Linked DNA regions of Macaca fascicularis. The protein of the gene in region 1 purifies or fractionates together with the protein of each later gene. This does not show direct contact. Links are inferred from orthologs where the notes say so. Each region holds a gene or a part of one and is shown on either strand. Other genes may lie near its edges.

The links. Proteins that work in one complex are often made in the same cells at the same time.
Region 2: the proteins of FUS (region 1) and DDX42 purify together in Homo sapiens (affinity purification with mass spectrometry; 3 studies listed by BioGRID and IntAct, with this or other methods). This does not show direct contact. The link is inferred for Macaca fascicularis from reciprocal best matches to the Homo sapiens genes FUS and DDX42.

The regions. Positions count from the first base shown.
Region 1 is NC_088394.1:29,365,939-29,372,671, forward strand, and holds the start of FUS (RNA-binding protein FUS), read left to right. Parts: upstream 1-2,564; 5' UTR 2,565-2,640; coding exon 2,641-2,653; intron 2,654-4,816; coding exon 4,817-4,841; intron 4,842-4,931; coding exon 4,932-5,101; intron 5,102-6,236; coding exon of another isoform or gene 6,237-6,239; coding exon 6,240-6,381; intron 6,382-6,585; coding exon 6,586-6,733. UniProt on the Homo sapiens protein: DNA/RNA-binding protein that plays a role in various cellular processes such as transcription regulation, RNA splicing, RNA transport, DNA repair and damage response. Binds to ssRNA containing the consensus sequence 5'-AGGUAA-3'.
Region 2 is NC_088390.1:70,307,867-70,314,032, reverse strand, and holds part of DDX42 (ATP-dependent RNA helicase DDX42), read right to left. Parts: intron 3,653-6,166; coding exon 3,548-3,652; intron 2,145-3,547; coding exon 2,025-2,144; intron 953-2,024; coding exon 776-952; intron 1-775. UniProt on the Homo sapiens protein: ATP-dependent RNA helicase that binds to partially double-stranded RNAs (dsRNAs) in order to unwind RNA secondary structures. Unwinding is promoted in the presence of single-strand binding proteins.

The DNA of each region.
Region 1 (6,733 bases):
CCTGCTTCAGCCTCCCGAGTAGCTGGGACTACAGGTGCCTGCCACCACGCCCGGGTAATGTTTGTATTTTTAGTAGAGACAGGGTTTCACCATGTTGGTCAGGCTGGTCTCAAATTCCTGACCTTGTGATCTGCCCTCCTTGGCCTCCCAAAGTGCTGGGATTACAGGGGTGAGCCACTGTGCCCAGTCAGCTTTCTATCTTTCTATGCTTATTTCCTCATCTGTAAAATGTCATCCTTAGCAGGGCGAGGTGGCTCACACCTGTAATTCCAGCAATTTGGGAGGTCGAAGCGGGTGGATCCTCTGATGCCAGGAGTTCGAGACCAGCCTGGCCAACATGGTGAAACCCCGTCTCTACTAAAAATACAAACATTAGCCGGGTGTGGTGGCGCACACCTGTACTCCCAGCTACTCAGGAGATTGAGGTGGTAGAATCGCTTGAACACGGGAGGTGGAGGTTGCAGTGAGCTGAGATGGTGCCACTGCACTTCAGCCTGGGTGACAGAGAGAGACCATAGCTCAAAAAAAAAAAAAAAAGATAAAATGTCATCCTCACATCAGCCTTTTGTTGTGAAAAATAAAATCAAGAATTTACTCAAAGCAGTCAGAACAGTGCCTGACAGTAAGTCTTGTTAAAGTGTTAGCTATCATATATTATAGATGAGCACAATGTATATCATTATTAAATGTCAGCTTTATTATTATTATTTGTTTTGAGACAGAGTCTTCCTCTGTCGCCCAGGCTGGAGTGCAATGGCACGTCTTGGCTCACTGCAACCTCCGCCTACTGGGTTTAAGCGATTCTCCCGTCTCAAAGCGATTCTCCCATCTCATCCTCATGAGTAGTTGCGATTACAGGTGCGTGCCACCATGCCCGGCTAATTTTTGTGTTTTTAGTAGAGACGGAGTTTCACCACATTGGCCAGGTTGGTCTCAAACTCCTGACCTCATGATCTGCCCGCCTCGGCCTCCCAAAGTGCTGGGATTACAGGTGTGAGCCACCGCGCCCGGTCAGCTTTATTATTAAATGTTAGCTTCATCTGCTTTGTACACTAATGCATACCCAGTGCCCAGAACAGTGCCTGGAACATACTAGGTGCTAAATAAATATTTGTGACTTAATGCATGAATGAGGGTGGACTTCCTTTCTTTTGCTCTCACTGGAGAGTTGAACTCTCCTTCCAACGCGGGTGGGGTGGATATTGGCGTATTCAGGGCCATCAGGGCTGAAGTCAAGGGCTTAGTGGGGCTTAATTTGCTGGGGGGGGGGGGCCCAGGACATGGCCCTCATTGTTTCTCTAGAAGGAAAGGTCCAACCCTCAAAAGACCTTCCGGAATCCCGCTGAAAGTTAAGTTGGGAAGGAAAACCTGCATGCGTATGTATCAGGAATTAACGTCTTTTGTCTTGCTTTGTTCAGTAGTTTCAAATTGCCTTCTCCAGGCAAGGCTGATGAAAGTGCAAGTTGCAAGTTAATTTGAATTTTTCTTTCTGCTTTTGCTCTCACAGGAAGTGGAAAGGCAACCAAACACTCTAGCATTCATGCCACCAAAAAGAGGTTTTGCAGTTACAAGACCTGGATTCGAATCACGACTCCTCCTAGCTGCCCTGTAATCAGGCACAATTACTTGGGTCTCTGAGTCTCACTTTTCTTATGTACAGAACGGAGATATGTTTACCTCCTTCGTAAGACTGATGAGAAGGAAATTATCTGTGCATTTTGAAACCACTTAAGCCTTGTACACGTTTTATTTCTGGGATCGCCACTGGTTCCCTGGTAGGGCTTCAGAAAAATAAAAAGGAGGTCCCTGAGCAAAGGCTGGGGGGCCCTTCATCTGAGGCCAACCCTCTCTTGTCCCAAGGATGGCCTGGACTGCTCCGCCCCGCGGCTCCCCAGGGGCAAAGCCGCGAGGGTCCGGGTGAGAGCCCAGTGCTGGACCAGCTCGGCGCTCAGGGGTTCCGGCCGAAATCCCTGCTGTCTTTCAGGTCAAACGTCATAATTCCCGAACCTCAGAAAGGCCGAAAAGCAAGGCAACCCCGAAAGACGACGAAGTCAACACCAGGGCGCAGGGCCAGTGTGCTGACGACGAGGGAGGCTGGAGCCGCGGGGACAAGGCGCCCCATACAGCGGCAAGAGGGCGGAGGGCAGGAGCTCGCCGTCCTGGGTGAAAGCGGGGCCCAGCGAAGAGGCCCGGCCACAGGAATGTCGGTTCCACCCCGCGACTCCCGGCGGTGACTCCAGTTTTGTCCCCAGCCGCCCGGCCCCGCCCCGCCCCGCCCCCAGCGGGCACTCAGGCCGTACCACTGTGCCTTCATGGGGGTGGAGTTAGATCGTGGGCTAGTCCTGCCGAGGAGAGAGGGGTTCTTCCCCAAAAAATATCATTATGTATAGTATTTGCATGATTCTAGTTAGCTCGTTTCCCATCTGCATGCTCGGAACCTCTACCTGCGCTAGGAAGGGGGCGGAGCGCTTTCCTTCCTCCCCCTGCTCTTCCGCGTTTGGTGCGCGCCTGCGCGGTGCGTAGGCGGCGGGACGTACTTAAGCTTCGACGCAGGAGGCGGGGCTGCTCAGTCCTCCAGGCGTCGGTGCTCTGCGTTGTTGGAATCTTGTTGCTTGCTTGGCTGTGCGCGCGTGCGCCGACATGGCCTCAAACGGTAGGTAAGGGCGCGAGGCGGCGGCGGCGGCGGCGGCGCACCGGGCCGAGGCCTCCCACCTAGGCTTTTCATTTTAGGTGGGACCGGGGTGGCGATCCTGTGTGGGATTCTTTCGTGCCCCTGTGGCGGGAAACCGCGGAGAGGGGTAACTGGAGGAGGCTGGTGTCGCCATTTTGTTTCGCTCCTCTGGCCCTCGCGCGCGGGGCGGCAAGTCTTCTCTTCGCAGTCCGTTTGCTTGGGGTGGTCGTTGGGAGGGACGCTTCTTAGGGGTTTGAAGCATCAGGTGAGGGTGGAAAATGCCCGGTTTCCGTGGCCTCGCCTCCCCCAACTCCCGGCCCCGCGCTCAGGCCCGCTTTGTCGCAGTGCTGCATCCGGGCACTCGCGGCGCGCACGCGCTCTGCGGGCCCCTCCCCCTTCGCGGCGCGGGTACCCCTTCCCCGCCTCGTGTCGGTTCAGCTTTTTGTCGCGAGACCCTTCGCGGAAGACTTGGCGGCGCGCGTCCGGTGTGAGCCTTGTTCCTCTGTGGTCTTTCGCGAAGGGGCGGGACCGCTCCATTCCCGCCTCGGTTGCCACGCGGCTGGGGGCGGAGGCTCGGTATCTGGGCCGCGCTCCGGCTTAACGGTTTGGAGGAGGTGGTCGTGGTTCCACCAACGGACTCGGGGACCTGGCCCGAGAGTTTTTCCCGCCCCAATTTTTTTTTTTTTTTGAGTCAAGATCTCCCTCTGTCGCCCAGGCTGGAGTGCAGTGGTGCGATCTCAGCTTGCTGCAATGTCCGCCTCCTGGGTTCAAGTGATTCTCCTGCCTCAGCCTCCTTAGTAGTTGGGATTACAGGCGCCTGCCACCACAGCCCGGCTAATCTTTGTGTTTTTTAGTAGAGACGGGGTTTCACCATGTTGGTCAGGCCCGTCTCGAATTGCTGGCCTCAGGTGATCCGCCCTCCTCGGCCTCCCAAAGTGTCGGGATTACAGGCGTGAGCTTCCACGCCTGGTCTAAATTTCTTTTTTCTGAGATTGGGACGGAGAATAACAGCCGTCGAGGCCACACCCTCTCCTGGTCCTTTCCCTTTTCCTGCGGGGGAAGCGCCGCGTTTCCTGCGCTGGGAGGATGAGTTGATCTTGTTCGTGTATTTAAAGTGGGGCGTTTCAAAAGGGCTTTCGTTGCTTTTGGTTCGCCCAGGGGAAGGCAGGGTAGATGAGAAAACAGAACCATCTGGAGCCCCACGGCTGGGGACTCGAGTACCTGTTGACTTTGGCCTCTTAAGGCGAGCACTTGGATGATCTCTGTCATTTGGGGTCCAAGGGCTCTTGATTCTCTGGCTTTGCACTAAAAAGGCCACTTCTTCTCCGGAATTGGTCAAAGAGTGCAGAATGGCCTTTTTTGAGACATTCTTCTGTGGGTCTGGGCTGAGAGAGTAGAGGCCACAATCTGAACACTGCTCGAATTCAGACCTGTGCTACTTGGTAGCTCTACGACTTTGGGCGAGTTAGTCTGTTTTGACTCCTGGCAATAATGGCTTTGTTATAGAGTGGAAGAAGCGAATGCGCGATGTTTTAGAGCAATCACTGACATGAATTGGTCTTGCAGAAAGTTGTGGCTGTCCACCAAGACCTTGGTTTTTCCAACGGTTAAGGCTTCTGGGACTCTGTAGAAACTTGCATTTTCTTCACTTTTTCTTTTTTGTAAGAACACTTGGCTGATAGGCCAGTTTGCTACTCTTCTCAACCAGTGTCTCAATGGGGGAATTTTATGCCCTTTATTGAAACGTGATGCTTTTTTTTTTTTTTTTTTTTTTGAGACGGAGTCTCGCTCTGTCGCCCACGCTGGAGTGCAGTGGCGCGATCTGCAACCTCTGTCTCACGGGTTCAAGCGATTCTTCTGCTTCAGCCTCCCAAATAGCTGGGATTACAGGCGTGCGCCACCATACCCGGCTAATTTTTTGTATTTTTATTAGCGATGGGGCTTCATGTTGGTTGGAATTCCTGACCCCAAGTGATCCATCCACCTCGGCCTCCCAAAGTGCTGGGATTATAGGCGTGGGCCACCGCACCTGGCCTGTGTGGTCCTATTTATTCATCAGTGCTTGAGTTAAGGAATTTAGCTTTAATTCAACTGTTTCAGAGTGGCGGCTGAAGATAATGTGATTGTATTTTTTTTTTTTTGCAGATTATACCCAACAAGCAACCCAAAGGTGAGTGCTGTTTTTGGGCTTCCAGAGTTTGTAGAGGGGAAGGGTGGTCAAGCTGTGTTTTCTGATCACGCTGGTTTTCCTTTCATCTAGCTATGGGGCCTACCCCACCCAGCCTGGGCAGGGCTATTCCCAGCAGAGCAGTCAGCCCTACGGACAGCAGAGTTACAGCGGTTACAGCCAGTCCACGGACACTTCAGGCTATGGCCAGAGCAGCTATTCTTCTTACGGCCAGAGCCAGAGCAGTGAGTCTTTCTCAGCAGGTCACCTCTTCCTGCTCTTTCTGAATATTGCTTTTCTTTTTTTTCTTTTTCTTTGGGAGACGGAGTCTCATCCTGTTGCCCAGGCTGGAGTGCAATGGTGCTATCTCAGCTCACTGCAACATCCGCCTCCCGGGTTCAAACAATTCCCCTGCCTCAGCCTCCTGAGTAGCTGCGATTACAGGCACCTGCTACCACGCCCTACTGATTTTTGTATTTTTAGTAGAGATGGGGTTTCACCATGTTCGATAGGCTGGTCTAGAACTCCTGACCTTGTGATCCACCTGCGTCAGTCTCCCAAAGTGCTGGGATTACAGTTGTGAGCCATCACGCCCTGAATGTCCCTTTTCTTAAACCTGAGCAGGACTGAAGTGTTGAAACTCTTCCATATTTCTTTTCCCTAAATGAGTGTATAATTCTTAAAACTCTTTGGGATCTGAGTCCTTTACAGGGCATTGTGGCACACCTGTAGTCCCAGCTACTGAGGAGTCTGAGGCAGGAGGATTCCTTGAGTTCAGGAGTTTGGGGCTGCAGTGAGCTATGATAGTGACTGAACAGCGACTGCATTCCAGCCTGGGCAGTGTATTGCGGCCCCATCTCAAAAAACAAAAATGTTTTTTGGTTTGTGATTCTGTTTACATTTGTTTTCTTTGGCTTTTAATTTTTATGACTCTCATTTCCCATCTCAGCATGAAAGAGCATATTTTCTAACGGGAGAACCAGTTTTAGGCCAATTCTTAAATGGAGAAAATGGTTATGCTTGAAACAAATGTATGAAATCATGTGATACATAAGGAGGTGGGATTGCCCCAAGGTCCTGAAGTGTAACTAAGAAAGGTGGTTGTCCTGTACGTAACTGCATGCACAGCTGCATATCACAGTGCTGTTAACAGGAATCCTTGGGCTTGGGATTAGAGGGTGTTGGGGTTGGCGGGGTTAAATTGGAACTGTCTTAGAGAGGATAGAAGTTGGAGCATTAACTTTGGGCTTTGAAAGGAGGGTAACTATGAGTTGCAAGATTATGAACAGCTTCTGAAAGGCTGACTTTTTGAGTATAGGTATTAGGTTGTATATGTTTTAACACATTTCTTACATTTTCTTTTTCCTGGTGGCTTTTGTGACTTCTTTTTTCTTGTAGCAGGCTATGGAACTCAGTCAGCTCCCCAGGGATATGGCTCGACTGGCGGCTATGGCAGTAGCCAGAGCTCCCAATCTTCTTATGGGCAGCAGTCCTCCTACCCTGGCTATGGCCAGCAGCCAACTCCCAGCAGCACCTCGGGAAGGTACGGTGGTGTCGATGTCGGGGAAGGCTTGAAAAGAGGGGTGAATTGATGAGGAATGATAAAGGGACCAGCAGCAGTAGGAGCAGTTTAGAGGTATAATTGGGGTAGGGGAGCCTGTGTTGAGTACAGAGAATGGAATCCACTAAAAGGAAATTGGGGGGCTATGCTGGGATTGTGATTGTGTTTTTTGTTTGTTTTCCTTAGTTACGGTAGCAGTTCTCAGACCAGCAGCTATGGGCAGCCCCCGAGTGGGGGCTACGGCCAGCAGCCTAGCTATGGTGGACAGCAGCAAAGCTATGGACAGCAGCAAAGCTATAATCCCCCTCAGGGCTATGGACAGCAGAACCAGTAC
Region 2 (6,166 bases), on another chromosome or scaffold:
TGAATATACTTAATGCCACCAAACTGTACATTACAAATGTACAGTTAAGACGCCGGGCGCGGTGGCTCACGCCTGTAATCCCAGCACTTTGGGAGGCCGAGGCGGGTGGATCAGGAGGTCAGGAGATTGAGACTATTCTGGCTAACATGGTTATACCCCATCTCTACTAATAGCCGGGCATGGTGGTGGGTACCTGTAGTCCCAGCTACTCGGGAGGCTGAGACAGGAGAATGGCGTGAACCCGGGAAGCGGAGCTTGCAGTGAGCCGAGATCGCGTCACTGTACTCCAGCCTGGGCGACAGAGCGAGACTCCGTCTCAAAAAAATAAAAATAAATAAATAAATAAATAAATGGTTGGCCGGATGCAGTGGCTCATGCCTGTAATCCCAGCACTTTGGGAGGCCGAGGTGGGTGGATCACGAGGTCAGGAGATCGGGACTGTTCTGGCTAACAACACGGTTAAACCCCGTCTCTACTAAAAAATAGAAAAAATTAGCTGGGCGTTGTGGTGGGCACTTGTAGTCCTATCTACCTGGGAGACTGAGGCAGGAGAATGGCGGGAACCCAGGAGGCGGAGCTTGCAGTGAGCGGAGATCACGCCACTGCACTCCAACCTGGGTAACAGAGCAAGACTCTGTCTCAAAGAGATAGTCAATTTTGTGTGTATCTTACTGCAATTAAAAAAAAAAGGTTTCCTGGTCGTTCTACCTCACTTGACTGGCTGGTCCCTTGCTAGTCCACATATGGAAGGAGGCATTCTATAGAAAGCACATACCTGCTGGCAAAGCTCCCTGGTAGGACACACAATCACTGCAATTGGTCCATCACCTGGTTCCAACTCCTTCTGGTCCATTATATGAATCAACATGGGCCATATGAAGGCTGCAGTTTTCCCACTACCTGTTTTAGCAATACCAATCATGTCTCTACCACTCAATGCCACAGGCACACCCTGGAGAAAAAGTAAAATATAACCACTCTAAAATTTCAATTCTAAAGGTGTACTGAAGCAAATCCTGGGGAAGGATAAATGACTACTAATGACATTTTTATATGCAATGGAACAAAACATATCCGGTGCTATGCATACTGGTTGTGAAATAGAAATATCAATATCCAACATTCTCATTAACTTCTTAATTTATAGGAAATGACATCATTCTCATTATGTGGATATCAGCCACCACTTACAGAACTGAAACAACTCCATTTTGTTTAAAATACAGAAATGAAAAATCAAGGCTGGGCAGTGGCTCACGTCTGTAATCCCAGCACTTCGGGAGGCCGAGGTGGGCAGGCTGCTTGAGCTCAGGAGCTCGAGACCAGCCTGGGCAACATGGTGAAACCCCATCTCTACTAAACTACAAAAAATTAGCCAGGTGTGGTGGCATACGCCTGTAATCTCACCTACTCGGGAGGCTGAAGCAGGAAAATTGCTTGAACCTGGGAGGCAGAGGTTGCAGTGAGCCAAGATCGCACCACTGCACTCCAGCCTGGACAACAGAGTGAGACTCCGTCTTCAAAAAAAAAAAAAAAAAAAAAAAAAACCAGAAAGATCGCAATTTATAATGAAGGGTTGCTAAAATTTTTAAAAATTTTCTCCCCTTGAGGAGGTATAGACTATCTCATTCATATACAGAAAATGAGAATTTTCTTCATAAGAATAAATAAGTCCCATATATAAATGGGAAAAAGAAGCTAAAACTTTCAGTAATGAATGAGAATTTTCAAGTGATGGACAAGGGAATTCTAGTCATTGACAGCACTAAACTTGTCCATATACAAACCTTTATGGTTACGTTTAGACCTAATAAATTATTTTCTTCATATCATATTTTCAAGATATGTATCAGATACAAAAGAATATTTGCCAGCCATTTAGTGACTTCTTAGAGTAATAAATACCTCTATCCTTATCAATAAGGTTCTACACTAAACAGTTTTACTACTGTGATTTGTTTTTAAACTAATATAGTCACAAAAGATTACCCTACTTTATTTTTCTTTCATTATGTTTTACGTACCTGACACTGTATTGGAGTGGGCTGTGTGTATTCAGATTTCCGAATCTGGTGCATAAGTTGTTCGTCAAACCCAAAATGAGCAAAGCTACTTCCTGGTCTAGGAGGTGCAGCACCAGAGACCTAGAGATAGAGACAACTCCCCAGAATGACTTGTACTTCAACATTAACAGCATTTGAAGTTCAACAATACTTACCTGGATCTAGCATTTTAGCTGGAGTATGAAGTGAAAATACAAGTCTGTAAGCCAAAATCATACAATGAAAAGGCAAAACCTCAAATGGTAACAAATATAAACCCCATATTAAAAACTCCATGACAAATATTCCCAAGATAATTGTCATACAATTTTAAATGATTAACTAAAAATTTATTAAATCAAAATTAATTTTCTCATAACAAACAAAATGGAAAAAAAACTGTTCAATGAATTGGGAAGTCATTACTGTTCTTTCTTTTGCCATTTTACATAACCATTAACCAGAGGGTAGAAAAAAATTAACGTATCTTACTTTTGAAATGAAAATTCCAAGTTGGCTCCAAATAAGACAACTCTACATATGCTGGCTACAAAGACATAATCTACTGCCTCCATTTTCAGTTGTGCCTGATGAATTAACGTCTCCCTTAGTGACTGATGGTCTAGCCACTGTCAAGCCCTGTTCAAACTGTACCCAGGTGAAGAATGGGGCTTATAATCTCCATTGTGTCCCCCAAAGTAGTAACCTTTCAACGCTCCTCTGGTGATGCTGACATTTCCAGTCAGGATTTCACTTAAAAATTTTTAAGTGAAAAAAATGTTAAACGTTTTACTTAAAAATTTTCTTGGGTCATTGGGGAGGTGAGTACCTCTTGGAAAACAGACAAGTGTACACACACCAAATACACACCCCTCCTGGAAAACAGGAGTTTAAACATCGTGTAGCAACTGATAAGGTGCACACAGGCAAGAAAGTTGTCTATATTAAGAGTAGATAGCATAGCATATTCTTTCTGTGTGTTTCATTTACCATCTATCAGCACCTTAAACCAATGTAGCCAATGTGCAGCTCAAAACTTTTGGTAGGCAGTTTAAACCATTCTGAAATCAGTGCATGTGTATTTTAAAAGGTATTAATTTATTCTAATTTTTAAAATAAAGCATACTATATGTAATTTGACAGACAAGTTTATATTAATTTCAAAATATTCTAAGATATCATATGTTAACATCTATTAATTTTGTTTCCTCTTCCTTTAGATGGGGACTCCCACCCTTCATCACTAGCCCATCCAGCACAGAACATACAAAATTCACTGAAATATGAAAGAAGAAAATGATCTTATCCTAAAACAGCATCTAGAAGACTAAAACAATCAAATTAAGAGACGTGAACAGAAGGGACATAATAATTATTCTGGCAAAGACAGTTCAGAGATCACTAGAAAAGAAATTCAAGGTTATTAGTTTAGATAACCAATAATAATACTAAATCTGGACTAATTAACATTGATATAAGAATACTGAGCTTAATGATTGTCTTACCCGAAGATTGAGCTTATGTCGGAGATCTATTAACTGCTGTGGAGTGAGGTTGGTTATCTCTTCATGCTCATTGTAAAAGTTTTTTTCAAATGGTGGATAGTCAATCTGCAGGTCCAATTATTCAAAGTTAGTCTAGAATTCAAGAGTCAATTCTGTAAGTTTGACTTTAATGCAAAATAATCTTTTCCAAATAATACACAAGTAAAGCCATTCCAGCTAGAGAAAGCAAAAAAATTAATTTATTCTCAACTTAGATCCTAAAAAGTACAGATAATTTGTTTTCTGTTCCTATTTTCAATATAAACACCAACCTACTTCTTTTTTTGGTTGACACACAGTCTCGCTCTGTCACCCAGCCAGTAGTGCAGTGGTGCAATCCTGGCTCACTGCAGCCTCCGCCTCCCAGGTTCAAACAATTCTCATGCCACCTCAGCCTCCCAAGTAGCTGGGATTACAGGCATGAGCCACTGTGCCTGGCCTAACACCAACCTACTTCCTAAAGAGACTCTTAAGGAAACCTCGAATTTGAACAAGCTTGAAGGAGACTAAGGAATCTCTATAATGCCAAAGACCTCAGAGGACAGAGAAGATATTTCACCATATAACATTTAAATATGTTTTGAATTAAGCTGTTTAACCTAGCTCTAAGCATTTAAAAACATTCCTAATATTTCTTTTGGAGATAGTTCTGCTTTTAGAGGGAGTTCTATTCTGTTTAAAAACGTGGAGCTGTTTGTAACTTTTAAAAAATGTATGGCCAAGCATTTCCAATTCCAGAGAGAGTAGTAGTCACTTGTATTATTCTTTTCATAGCTTACTGTACTAGGTATACAAAACATAAGCACACCACCACCTATCAATTTGGCTAAATTATTTTTTATAAAAAAAATTTTTTTTTCAGTGACAGGGTCTTGCTATGTTGCCCAGGCTAGACTCCTGGGCTCCAGTGATTCTCCTGCCTCAGCCTCTCCAGTAGCTGGGACTCCAAGCATGCGCCACCATGCCTGGCTCTTAAAACTTCTTTTTTAAGAAAAATATAAGCACTCTATAGGCAGTTAAAAAAAAAATCATAATTCTGGATACATAAAAAAAATTGGCAAGAAGAGTGACACTGTCTTGTATTTTCACAAATCTCTTTATTAATGTCTAACTTAAATAGCTCATACAATATTCAAATTGTTGCAATAGCTTGGTTTTATTTAAGCCTATAAGAAAATCTGGCCTCCAGGCCAGGAGCAGTGGCTCATACCCATTATCCCAGCACTTTGGGAGACTGAGGCAGATGGGTCACTTGAGGTCAGGAGTTCGAGACCAGCCTGGCCAACATGGTGAAAGCCCATCTCTACCAAAAATACAAAAATTAGCCGGGCATAGTGGCACACGCCTGTAGTCCCAGCTACTCGGGAGGCTGAGGCAGGAGAATTCCTTGAACCTGGGAGGAGGAGGAAGTTGCAGTGAGCCAAGGTCGCGTCACCGCACTCCAGCCTGGGTGACAGAGCAGGACTCCATCTCAAAGAAAGAAAAGAAAAAATACGTAGTTGAAAAAGGGAGGAGAGTATTTTAGTAGCCTTTTCAGATACTTTTTTTTTTTTTTTTTGAGATGGAGTCTCCTCTGTCGCTCAGGCTGGAGTGCACTGGCACGACCTCAGCTCACTGCAACCTCCTCCTCCAAGATTTCAGTGATTCCCCTGCCTCAGCCTCCCGAGTAGCTGGGATTACTGATGCCTGCCACCAATCCCAAAGACGGGGTTTCACCATGTTGGCCAGGCTGGTCTCGAACTCCTGCCCTCAAGTGATCTGCCCACCTTGGCCTCCCAAAGTGCTGGAATTATTATAGGCATGAGCCACTGCATCCAGCCCTTTTCAGATACTTTTTATTTTACACTAAAACTTGACAAGTGGTCATTTCCTAAAAGTTATTTTCATTGTGTAATCAGAAACCATATTACTGAAGTTTTTACACTCTGTAACATTATAATCCATTTGTCTATCATGTATTTTGAGTTGAGCTTTCATTCACGCTTGACTTTGTAATGTCATATGTAGATCATTTGGAAAATATTGGTTCGCCGAGGTTACATACAGATCATCCAAATGTTAACACATTTCATTATATTAAAAATCAGTTATTAATATCACCATCAATTTTGTCACAACTTTAAGTACTGAAAAGCTATCAAGCCTACTGTGGTAGATACAAGTTTTCCAAATTCTAAGTTTTGCTTGAAAGCTTGACTTTTTTTTTTTTGAGATGGAGTTTTGCTTTTATTGCCCAGGATGGAGTGCAATGGCATGATCTCAGCTCACTGCAACCTCTGCCTCCTGGATTCAAGTGACTCTCCTGCCTCAGCCTCCCGAGTAGCTGGGATTACAGGCATGTGCCACCATACCCAGCTAATTTTGTATTTTTAGTAGAGACAGGGTTTCTCCATGGTGGTCAGGCTGATCTTGAACTGCTGAACTCAGATGATCCACCCACCTTGGCCTCCCAAGTGCTGGGATTACAGGCGTGAGCCACCGCACCCAGCCTGAATTTTGTTATTAAAAAACAAAATTGCCGGGCGCGGTGGCTCAAGCCTGTAATCCCAGCACTTTGGGAGGCCGAGGCGGGCGGATCAC